Linked DNA regions of Macaca fascicularis. The protein of the gene in region 1 binds, or shares a complex with, the protein of each later gene. Links are inferred from orthologs where the notes say so. Each region holds a gene or a part of one and is shown on either strand. Other genes may lie near its edges. The genes, in order: YWHAE, GATAD1 and MLF1.

What was found.
Region 2: the proteins of YWHAE (region 1) and GATAD1 are in contact, whole or in part, in a crystal structure (PDB 8Q1S), measured with the Homo sapiens proteins. The link is inferred for Macaca fascicularis from reciprocal best matches to the Homo sapiens genes YWHAE and GATAD1. Residues at the interface, in NP_006752.1 of Homo sapiens: Asn43, Ser46, Val47, Lys50, Arg57, Arg61, Lys123, Arg130, Tyr131, Gly172, Leu175, Asn176, Val179, Tyr182, Glu183, Lys215, Asp216, Leu219, Ile220, Leu223, Asn227, Leu230, Trp231; in NP_066990.3 of Homo sapiens: Thr98, Lys99, Tyr100, Lys101, Ser102, Ala103, Pro104, Ala105, Ala106, Glu107.
Region 3: the proteins of YWHAE (region 1) and MLF1 are in contact, whole or in part, in a crystal structure (PDB 3UBW), measured with the Homo sapiens proteins. The link is inferred for Macaca fascicularis from reciprocal best matches to the Homo sapiens genes YWHAE and MLF1. Residues at the interface, in NP_006752.1 of Homo sapiens: Lys50, Asn51, Arg57, Arg61, Lys123, Arg130, Tyr131, Glu134, Pro168, Gly172, Leu175, Asn176, Val179, Tyr182, Glu183, Leu219, Ile220, Leu223, Asp226, Asn227, Leu230, Trp231; in NP_071888.1 of Homo sapiens: Arg31, Ser32, Phe33, Ser34, Glu35, Pro36, Phe37.

Annotation. Positions count from the first base shown.
Region 1 is NC_088390.1:1,505,452-1,509,200, reverse strand, and holds the start of YWHAE (14-3-3 protein epsilon), read left to right. Parts: upstream 1-908; 5' UTR 909-1,020; coding exon 1,021-1,084; intron 1,085-3,749. UniProt on the Homo sapiens protein: Adapter protein implicated in the regulation of a large spectrum of both general and specialized signaling pathways. Binds to a large number of partners, usually by recognition of a phosphoserine or phosphothreonine motif.
Region 2 is NC_088377.1:128,910,431-128,914,179, forward strand, and holds the start of GATAD1 (GATA zinc finger domain-containing protein 1), read right to left. Parts: upstream 2,354-3,749; 5' UTR 2,077-2,353; coding exon 1,822-2,076; intron 1,057-1,821; coding exon 931-1,056; intron 710-930; exon of another isoform or gene 1-709. UniProt on the Homo sapiens protein: Component of some chromatin complex recruited to chromatin sites methylated 'Lys-4' of histone H3 (H3K4me), with a preference for trimethylated form (H3K4me3).
Region 3 is NC_088376.1:61,538,635-61,542,121, reverse strand, and holds the end of MLF1 (myeloid leukemia factor 1), read right to left. Parts: coding exon 3,370-3,487; intron 1,217-3,369; coding exon 1,111-1,216; 3' UTR 590-1,110; downstream 1-589. UniProt on the Homo sapiens protein: Involved in lineage commitment of primary hemopoietic progenitors by restricting erythroid formation and enhancing myeloid formation.

The DNA.
Region 1 (3,749 bases):
CACCACGCCCAGCTAATTTTTTGTATTTTTAGTAGAGACGGGGTTTCACTATGTTGGCCAGGCTGGTCTCGAACTCCTGACCTTGTGATCCGCCCGCCTTGGCCTCCCAAGGTGCTGGGGTTACAGGTGTGAGCCACTGCGCCCGGCCAGGGCCCAGTTCGTTACCCTGAGTGTAAAAGTGTCTGAAATGGGCCCATGACCAGGAGTGGCGGAGAAACCCAGGACGCGGGCCGGGCGCGGTGGCTCACTCCTGTAATCCCAGCGCTTTGGGAGGCCGAGGTGGGCGGATCACCTTGAAGTCGGGAGTTCGAGACCAGCCTGACCAACATGGTGAAACCCCGTCTCTATTAAACATACAAAAGGTAGCTGGGCTTGGTGGCGGGCGCCTGAAATCCCAGCTACTCGGGAGGCTGAGGCAGGAGAATCACTTGAACCCGGGAGGCAGACGTTGTGTTGAGCCGAGATCGCACCACTGCACTCCAGCCTGGGGAACAAGAGCGAAACTCCGTCTCAAAAAAAAAACAAAAACACAAAAGGAAACCAGGACACGGTAGTGACAGCCGCTGCTTTCGGGGAGGAAGACCTGCCATGACAGAAACCGTTAGCGCCTCAGTCGTTCTCTTCCGCAGGTCGGGCCTCGGGCCCAGGTTTCCCGCCGGCTTTTTTCAGGAGCAGTCCCGGCCGGCCCCGCCTCAGCCCTTCCCGTTCCCCGGGGGCCGCTCCCTCTCAGCAGTCGCAGTTCCCGCCTCTGGGCTCCGGCGCCCGCTGAGCCGACGGAGGAGGGGCGTCTCCTGCGCTGGTTCCAGCCTCTTCGGGCGCCGAGTTCCAGGACCCGCCCCCCGCGCCAGTTGCCAGGGAGCGGTTGCCATAGAGCTGAGCAGTTGTCCGCGTGCGCAGGCGGAAGTCCCGGATTGAGGCGCCGCCATTTTTGCTGCCCGGACGCGGAGCGAGAGGCTGAGAGAGTCGGAGACACTATCCGCTTCCATCCGTCGCGCAGACCCTGCCGGAGCCGCTGCCGCTATGGATGATCGAGAGGATCTGGTGTACCAGGCGAAGCTGGCCGAGCAGGCTGAGCGATACGACGGTGAGTTGGGGGGGCAGCGGGGGGCTGGAATTCTCGTTCCCTCTGCCGCCGCCCACAGAGGCCGGGAACAGGAGACAAAATGGCGGCATCGTCTGCGAGCCTGGCCCGGGGGCTTGGGTTCGGGAAGCAGGAAATGGCCTGGGAGCTCCCGGGGCAATGGGAGGCTGTATGCCTTGGAATGTGACCCCTTCGCCGTCCTTAACTGCAAACAACTCGCGGGCCGGGAGGCCGGGGAGACGGGGTGGAGGAGTTGGTTGTAAAATGGCGGCTGGGGGGAGGGCGAGTCTCGGGGCGGGGGAGGGGGAGGAGATGGCGGGTGCTGTCTCCGAACGAGCAGCCCTCAGGGGAGCTTCTGGGACGGTCTTGGGATGTGGAGAACAATTGGGTGCGGTGACGGGGGAAGCAGCACCCGCCACATGGGAGAGAGCGGAGACCGGGAGCTGTAGCGCGGGCGCCTTTCAGGGAAATATGGCGGGTGGGGGCGGTGGCTTTTCCCCGGAGGCCCCGTGTGGGGCGGCGGCCGTGGAGTCTCACAAAGGAGAAGCCTTCAGAGCGATGGGCTTCCTCAGGCCTGAGGCGGGGGACAGTCCCGGGTGATGGTGGGGGGAGAGGGGTGAGCGGGAATCACTGCGGTTCGTCTGGGGCGGTGGCAGGCGCCGACGCTGCGATCGGGTTTCTCTCCCGTGGGCCGGCACCTCGTAGTGAGGGGGTTTGGGGCTTTTCCTCCTCGCCGCCTGCTGGGGAGGCCCAGAAAACCCTCACTCCCTCCCCTTTCCTCAGACTTAAAACGGGAGACCTCGAAGTTCCTGTAACCTTTCTCTGACTGCATCACCAGTGGGTTCTGATGGATAGAAGCAGGAGACCAGGAGGCCACGACTCTGAGAGTTCGAGCCTTTGTAGGGCCCGAGCCTCAGTCCACCCGTTTGTAAAAACGATGACTTTACAGTTTGTGCGCACCATCATGACACATGGAAAGACCTGTTGAAATAAAGTTATTTCCAATAGTGTTCAGTCACTGTATTTTGGTTGACTCTGCAGGCTCGGGATGCTGGTCTGTACTTCGTGGGGGAGCTTAACCTATTCCAGGCACTCGGCTGAGGCTGGGGTTTTTGAGTTATGAAGGTTGGAGATCCTGTTGCTTTCTTTTTTTCCATTTCAAATAAATGGGTTTATGTAGAAATTTTAGTAGTTCCTCTTTGTTCGTTGTTCCTTTGCCCATAACGGGTTCTCCAGTCCTTTTTCATAACTTTATCGAAATATCCATTGTGTCTGTCTAGTCATTGTCAGGAAGTTTATTCTTAGTCCTCCCTCCCAGTCCACCTTTTGAAATACCCTCACATTTATAATTGTGCGATACTGTAGTATTAAAGGAAAAGTCATGTATGTGGGTCCTGTGGTTTTAATGCTTTTGTGTGGTAGGGTGGGATGAGACATGGTTGGAATCAAGTATCTTTGATCCTTAGATTTTTCCTGATTAAGCTACCTGTATTTCAAAATGTTGTGTAGGGCCGTTGCTTTCCTGGAAATGCAGATTTAGTCATGTGAATAACCTCAGGGCTACTCCCCCTTATCAGAAACGAGGATTCAGGGATTTGAAAATAAGACAAGGCCTCTAGAAGTCAAATTTGGAATAATACTAAACTAAATTTCGTCTTGTAAATTGTTAAATTGCTATTTGTATTGAACAAGATTCCTGTTGGGAGAGGGAGGGGAATTAGGTGGGGAAGTGCAGCTCAAGGTCAGCTTTGTCTTTATTTCAGTGTTTAAAAATCAAACAGATAAAGATGTGCTTGTATTGGAAGTCTCCTCCTCCGCTCCTCATCTCCAGATGTTCCCCTCTTCATCTATTAGTGTTCTTGGGAGGAAACAAATTATACTTGAATGCTTTCTGTTTTGTGGGCATTGGAGCTCTGAGTAAACTTGCTGTGATAACTAGAAAGGATGTGAGAGAAGGTCTTTTTTTTGAAAGCTCCTTTAAAAAACCGATTTGAAAGCTTATGATTGTAGTTTCCAATTAAATGACAGGTTAGTGATAATTATATTTTTGATGTGAGTGGTGAAGATTTCTGACCAGAGCCCTTACTGGTTATTGAACATAGGACTCTGATAAAGCCACATCCTTACAGTTGTTAATGTTAGGTGTCCCCTTCAGGATCTAAAGGGGTAAGGAAATAGAATCTGCAAGGTGAGGAGCTATTCCTGTGACTTGGGGCATATGGTAGGGATTCAGTAGAAAGGAGAGGAGGAGAAGGAGACAGACACCAGGAATTTCTACCTGTGTCCTCTGCCTGTGTCCATTCCTTTATTGAGTGCAATATTTTTTTGTTTCTGGGACGAAGTGTTGCCGGAGTCCTGGTCACCAAACAGAATTTAGCAGGTGTCGGTGGTGGAAGAAGGTAAGACAGTATATTAGCAGGATTTCTTTGTTGGATACTTGTACCCAAATGCTGGTTTTCCAGCTGCTCTTTTATCTTTCTGTTAACTGCAGTAGGCCTATTTTATTTTGCTTGCTGTGTTGAATTAATGCCTAAACTTACATGTACCCTCATTTAATTCTATCCTGGGGCGTTGGAATCAATTTATATGGATTATTTAATGGTACGGGAGGAAGAGCTAAGCTGTATTCAGGAAAAGGACACTTTAATGTCACAGGAAATATTTAAGT
Region 2 (3,749 bases), on another chromosome or scaffold:
GACAGGTGCAGCAAATCACCATGGCACATGTATACCTATGTAACAAACCTGCACGTTCTGCACATGTATCCCAGAATTTAAAGTAAAATTTTAAAAAATTAATTAAATTAAATTACATTAAAAAAAAAAAAAGAAAATAGTCTGCCATCTGCATAAGTCTACTGCAGGGTCCCTTTGTGTTTTAGAAATAAATATGCCCGACTTCAAAAATGTCTTTACGGGTAAGTGAAACATTCCTGTTCTGAAAGAAAAGAATACCATACTGAGACTTAAAAAAATAGTCCATAATGCACTGTCCATTGTGTTTGAACATTATCCCTTGTTTATAAAAACTGATAATTTAATTGCAATAAAAATATGCTTTCAATTATTTCCAGCACAGGTCTTTCAACAATGTCTTTTCTTAGAGTAGAAGAGAGAAGGCTTAGCAGAATTTTTGACTCATATTCATCAAATACATCATCATCATAAGTCAATAAGATACATTTTCTGGGGCTTTAATAATAAATAAATATGCAAATGATGAGTTCTAGTGTTAATATTTACTTAATTTTTAAAGAATGAAAAAAAAGTTTTCTTAGTGTACCTGGCCATATCAAGAACCATAATCTCTCCTCTTCCTTTCCATAGAGAACCCCAAAAAATGGGCTCAAGGCTGATGTTTCTTTTAAACTCATATTTTATATTTTCCAGGGGAAAAAAATAAAAGCTAAAAAAAAAAAAAAAAAAAGGAAAGAGTATTATTACCTTTAAAAATAGTGAGCCTCCTGCAACAGAGCTCATTCCCTTTTGGGGAGTCTGGACCACTCCCCAGAATACTAAGGAAGGGCTACCAAGGGCAGAGTCCAAGTTCAATGGCGGGAAATGAAGGCAGTGGCAGGATACACACAACATCATTACAGTAAAAGGCACTGTCCACAAATATCTTACATTTTTCAATTTAAATATATGTCTTCTCCCTTTTCCTTTGGTGGAAACTTTCTTCTCAGCAGCCGGAGCAGATTTGTATTTAGTGTTTCTGAGCCGAGCAGACCTCCTGTGAATTTCCTGCTTACTCTGTTACACAAACAAATTAAAGAACAGAGAAAGAAGTAAAAAGTGTATACAGGTTGCAATACAATCATCTTACAAGGATCCCAGAGTATGTACTTTATAGGAGTATTTAACAATTAAGAGTGCGCCTTTGCTTTTCAACAGAGGTAATTTCAGCAACTGGGCTAAGTAAAACCGGAAGTTCAGCACCGGAATCTCGGAGCTCGCTGGATAGGCGTCTCCAGAGCCTCCAAAAGGTGTGAGCTGCTTGTAATAAGTCAGGAGGCGGAAGTAAGAGTCAGTCTGGGCCAAGACAAACACTATTCATTTGTTGTGTCTACAATAGAGAAAAACACTTAACAACTTTACTCCCTAAGGCCAGATAACGTATTAGGTTATGGCGCCTCCTACAACTGAATACTTAAGCTGCCATTTACAATAATGACATAATAATCTTACTTCATAACCTGATATGACAAAACCTTTAACAAGCAATGAGGTCCAGCACCTGCACTTGTGGCATGACCCTGTTTACGACTGTGTAGACGTGTGCATATTGAGATTTTCTTAAGGGCTTTACATTTTGGTTCTTATTGCTTTGAATTTCTTATAACAGGTGCTTTGGAATGGGTCAAACCAAAGATCTCAGTAGGAGGTGGGGAGGGGCGTTCCAGCCGGCAGGACCACGGCGAGCCGGGAAGCCCGGGCCCGCCCGCTCCCAACCCGCCCGGCCCCTGCCGCCTAGCGCCCGGTCGGCCTCCGCCGGCGGGAGGGGCCGGAGGAGCTCACCTGCTTGCCGCCCCCGCCCCCGTTGCTCTGCGGAGGAGTGGCGGAGGTGCTGGCGAAGGTCGCCGCGCCGAAGCCGCCGCCACCGCCGCTGCTGCCCCCAGTCCCTCCAGCCGCCCCCGAGCCTGCGCCCCCGCTGCCCGCGCCGCCCCGGCCAGTGCAATGATGGCAGAGGATCTCCCCCTGCGTGCCCTTCTTCCACATGGAGGACGACGTGGTCTTGCATACGCTGCAGGTGGGCTTCAGGCCCAGCGGCATGGTGGCCGGCTCGGGCGGCCCCCGCGGGCGCAGAGACACGGGAATGGCGGACGCTAGCCCGGCCGCCCCCTGGTCGGCCCACCACTCCCGGCGATAGGAAGAGCAGTGAGGGCGACAGCACCGAGCTGCCCGTGAAGGGACTAGGCCGCTAGCGCTGCCGCGTGGAGGCGGGAAGCGGGTTCCGCCGGTTCCGCCGGCTCGGCGCCCAGCACCAGCCCCGGGAGGCCCGAGGCACTGGGAAGCAGGACCGGGAACGGGATATGGCCGGCGGGGACGCGGAGGCTTCCGGCGGTGAGCTGGCCCCAGGGCCGCGCAGCCCGACCGCCTGACCGGAAGTGCAGCACCCGGAATTACTGGGAGCTTGCGGTAGTTCCGCTTGCTGTCGCCTAGGGGCGCGGTTCTCAAACTTTTTGGTGTCAGGCCTAGAATTTGCGGGGTAAAATGCAGGACCAATGAAATGTGACTTTCAGGTAAACGACGAACAATTGTTTTTAGCGTGAGTGAATTTCATGCAATAATGGTTTATCTGAGAGGAGTTTAACTGGGAGTCCTGTATTTTTATGTGCTAAATCTGGCAATCCAGGTCTGGCGTGGTGGCTCACGCTTGCAATCCCAGCACTTTGGGAGACCAAGGCTGGCGGATTACTTGAGCTCAGGAGTTCGAAATCAGCCTGGCCAACATGGTGAAACCCCTTCTCTACTAAAAATACAAAAGTTAGCCAGGCTCAGTAGTGGCGGGCTCCGGGGTAATCCCAGCTACTCTGGAGGCTGCGGCAGAAGAATCTCTTGAGTGCGGGAGGTAGAGCCTGCAGTGAGCCAAGATCATGCCATTGCACTTCAGCCTGGGGGATAGAGTGAGACTCTGACTCAAGAAAAAAAAAAAAATCTGGCAATCTTTCTCAGGACCCCTTTACACTCTTAAAAATTATAATTTGGACATGCCCCTACATCTCCCCCCAACCCATACTTTTGTTTAGTTGAATTCAGAGCATGCCATTTACGGACATCGACAAGGGATTCAGAAAATGCCATCCACTGACATTTATGTTTTAGAAATTGAAATTGAGACATTTTACAGCCTAAGATGTCAAGCGCACATTCTTCAGCCATTGGGTAATATCGTTGCAAGTCCCTTGGACTCTGAAGAGTATACCGATTAGAGAATGTGGAGAAAATTGAATAACTGGCTGTTATTCAATTCAAAACTGTTGGAAAACAGTTTTGGCTCTGAGGACCCAGCAGTTGACAAACAGCGGGCCTGGGACAAGCGCAGTATGAGAAGTCAGATCGCCTCTTCTAATGTCACTAGTCAGTACAGGCCTCGCCAGACAAGTCTCTCCTCAGCCTCATTTGGAAGAGCATGTCCTCTCTTCATGATCCTGGGTTTCCTAGACTTAGTATCCTTGGAAAAGTCTTGATGAATATATTGTGGTGGGAAGCAATGGGGAGAAACAAATGCCTATTATGTCACAAAACCACATTTAGTGCTTATGACAACCTTGGAATGAGATATTATCAGATTTTACTGTTAATTGGTGATCAACAGAGGCACTTCTGTGTGAACTGGCTGTCATTATAGCTGCTGCCGTTGGCACCAATTTCGAGGAGGACTTTGGAGCAGCCCTCTGGGGTGTGGGTTGTGGCTCAGTCATCCCCCCTCTAAATCTGTTTCC
Region 3 (3,487 bases), on another chromosome or scaffold:
CGAGACTCCGTCTCAAAAAAAAAAAAAAAAAAAAAAGAAATATCAAACAACAGATGTGAGTTAAGATTTTATATTCTTATAAACTTTAAACCTAACTTTTATAAAAACAGATTAATGTTTAAATTCTAGAATAAAAATGCTAAAGCTGATTTTTAATGGTACAATTAAAACAGAAACAACTGAATTATTAAGATGTTGCTCAAAACCACCCATCAGCTGTCTAACAAATTCTGAGACAATGTATCATTCTGGTTTGGAGAATACTAAATGTATTTTTCTAAATGTCCCAAAAAAGCTGAGCAGAGTTTTCTCCAAGGACTCTCCAGCTTTAGAATGTTAGTCTTGGAGATAGATGAAGCTGTCTGTGGGAAAGGAGAGCAGAAATATGCCACATTAAGAAGTTAAAGAGAATGGTCAATATGATATCTGATGAATATTAAGAATGTAATATAGAAAAGATACATTCTATAAAGAAATTATAACCAAAACAATCATGTACATTAGCAATTTAAAATATTTTTCTCCGAAAATGAACTATTTGATTATTCTTGTCCTTTATCAAAATAATAACTATTTTCTCATAAAAGAGTACCAGTGTAGTTTTGCTTTATTATTTTTAAAGTTTTAATCTAGCTGGCTGTACAACACATTATAAAATTAGAGATAAATTATTTAAACCTTTATTAATATCACCCGAGTACAGTGTTAGTAAAAACTGAGAAATTTTTAACATTATAATGTCTTATAACTAATTATAAGTGACAGAACTGCTCTGCAATCAATCTTGATAAATATAAAAGAATACCTAGCCAACACAAAAACAACTGGGGAAGCAAAATCAGCATATAAGCTTTAAAAAATCAGTATGTTTTAAAGAGTTTTATATTAAATAGACTGTTTCACAATTTACTCACATTGTTGAAAATCAAAATTTTATTCCTAAAAGAGGGACAATATAAAGCTAGGACCTTCATGAACATTCAGGTATCAGAAGAAAGTTGCCAAGGACAGAACTGATTTAACAGCAAGAGATTGGTCTTATGCTTATTACCCAGCACCATTACTAACTGTTAAAACAACCAAAACTAAGCAAATCAAATGCATGGCTATTTATTTTTTGTTGCTTTTCACAGATGAGCCTTTGATGTGGAGTTTATCCCCCAAAACATTTGATCTTCTTCCACGTTCAATGGCTGGACTTTGTTGAGGTTTCTCCCTGAGAAATATACATGTGAATATTAATATGATTTATAAAATGGCCAATGGTTTATAAATCAATAAACATGTTAAAAACCACTGTAACATAAGAAAACTTTTATCTTAAAAGTTCCTTAATAGCTTTGAAAAACAAGGCTGGCCAGGTGTGGTGGCTTACGCCTGTAATCCCAGCACTCTGTGAGGTCGAGGTGGGCAGATCACGAGGTCAAGAGATTGAGACCATTCTGGCGAACATGGTGAAACCCCATCTGTACAAAAAATTAGCTGGGCGTGGTGATGTGCACCTATAGTCCCAGCTACTCAGGAGGCTGAAGCAGGAGGACTGCCTGACCCTGGGAGGTGGAGGTTGCAGTGAGTCGAGATTGCGCCACTGCACTCCAGCCTGGTGACAGAGCCAGACTGTCTCCCCCTCCAAAAAAACAAAAACAAACAAACAAACGGGAAAAACAAGGCAGACTATTTCAGTGAATTTAAAACAGCAACAGCTGTTTTCCTGAGATAGATTTAACTGTTTATAGTTTAAACACTGTTTAATGTTAACGGTATGGTAGCCACTAACCACATTTATATTTGAATTAAACTAAAATAATTTAATACTTCAGTTTTACCAGCAATGGTTCAAATGTGAATCAACAGCCACATGTGGCTAGTAATTACTACACAGGACAGAATAGATATATAGCATTTTTCTCATTACCGAAGTCATTTCAGGAAATGCCATTGGACAGTGCTGGTTAAGAGAAAATGCCACTGTTAGGGCCAGAAATTTATAGGTCATCCATAAAGAGTATGCCTTCTCTAAGTGGGACCTGGATTTCCTATTCAAACTTGGCACTGCTAGGTTTTTAATCAGTACATTTTTCAAATGAGAAAAATATCTGTAATTAATATAGGAGCAAGTTTTCAAGCAATTCAATAGAAAATACCAGGTCTCTAAATTCCTAAACAAGTGTTTTAGAAGAAAAGATCCTAGCATATGAAATTCTCCATAAGGCTTCTGATTTACTTGATACTCACTTGTCCACCGCTAGTTCTGTGAAGCCTTCTACCTTCTGCAGCAATTCTCCACTCTCTTATAGCTTAGAACAGATTTCTATTTAAGGTCTGGTGAGGCCTTTCTCTTTAGTGTAACTTCATAGGAAATAGATATTATTATTCACTTCCCCCCCCGCAGAGAACCACATTAAACTGTAGCTCCAGGGTATGTACAAAATGTATTTTAAAATCTCTATAATATTTATTTATTCATTTTTGAGATAGAGTCTCAGTCTGTCACTCAGGCTGTAGTGCACCGGTGTGATTTTGGCTCACCACAACCTCCGCCTCCTGGGTTCAAGCGATTCTCTTGCCTTAGCCTCCCAAGTAGCTGGGATTATAGGTGTATGCTACCATACCTAGCTAATTCGTATTTTTAGTAGAGACGGGGTTTCACCATGTTGGCCAGGCTGGTGTCAAACTCCTGACCTCAAGTGATCCACCTGCCTCGGCCTCCCGAAGTGCTGGGATTACAGGCATGAGTCACCATGCCCAGCCAGAAATCTCTATAATCCTTAATATGTGGTTTCAGCAAATTTATTTTTCTCAGCTATACTAAAAGGGAATTGTAAAATAAGCTAATGTTCTTGCAAAATTCTTCCAAAACACCTAAAACACATCAAATATGGTATTGCATGTACTGTTACATATTGTACCCGTGTCTGAAATTTCATTTACGATTACATGATAAATTGTGATTTGTTAAGGAAGTTGTTAAGTCTTCCAAATACAGCCCCTCTCCCCTTAACATATCTCTAGGTATCTTTACCAGTGTGAAATGTATAACTCTATAACCATATTAGAATCTGTTTTACAAGAATAACTACTCCGTAGCAAATCAGTTTTCCTGAAGAGGATTTTGGTCTCTGTCTTCTGAGGCATAATTTACTAGTGAATTACTAACCATACAATCCTAAACTATTATTGATTTTTAGATATAAATTTAAATTTGTGCGGAATACTCAGTTTTAGTATAAAATTATAACATCTTTCACAAAAGATACTGTGGATACAACTTGGATGATCATCAAAACTTTCTGATAACAGAAATAAAATTATGTAACTTTACTTCAAATTCTTCTTTAAAAACCAAACTATTTTAGAAACAACTTTTACCTTCTTTTAAGTTCTTGGGAGCCAGGATTCTCATGACCAACACTTCTCATTCTAGTGTTTTCTAGATTGTGTCGTCCTGGTTTGTACTTCAAAACCTCACTTTGCCATTCCTCATCAA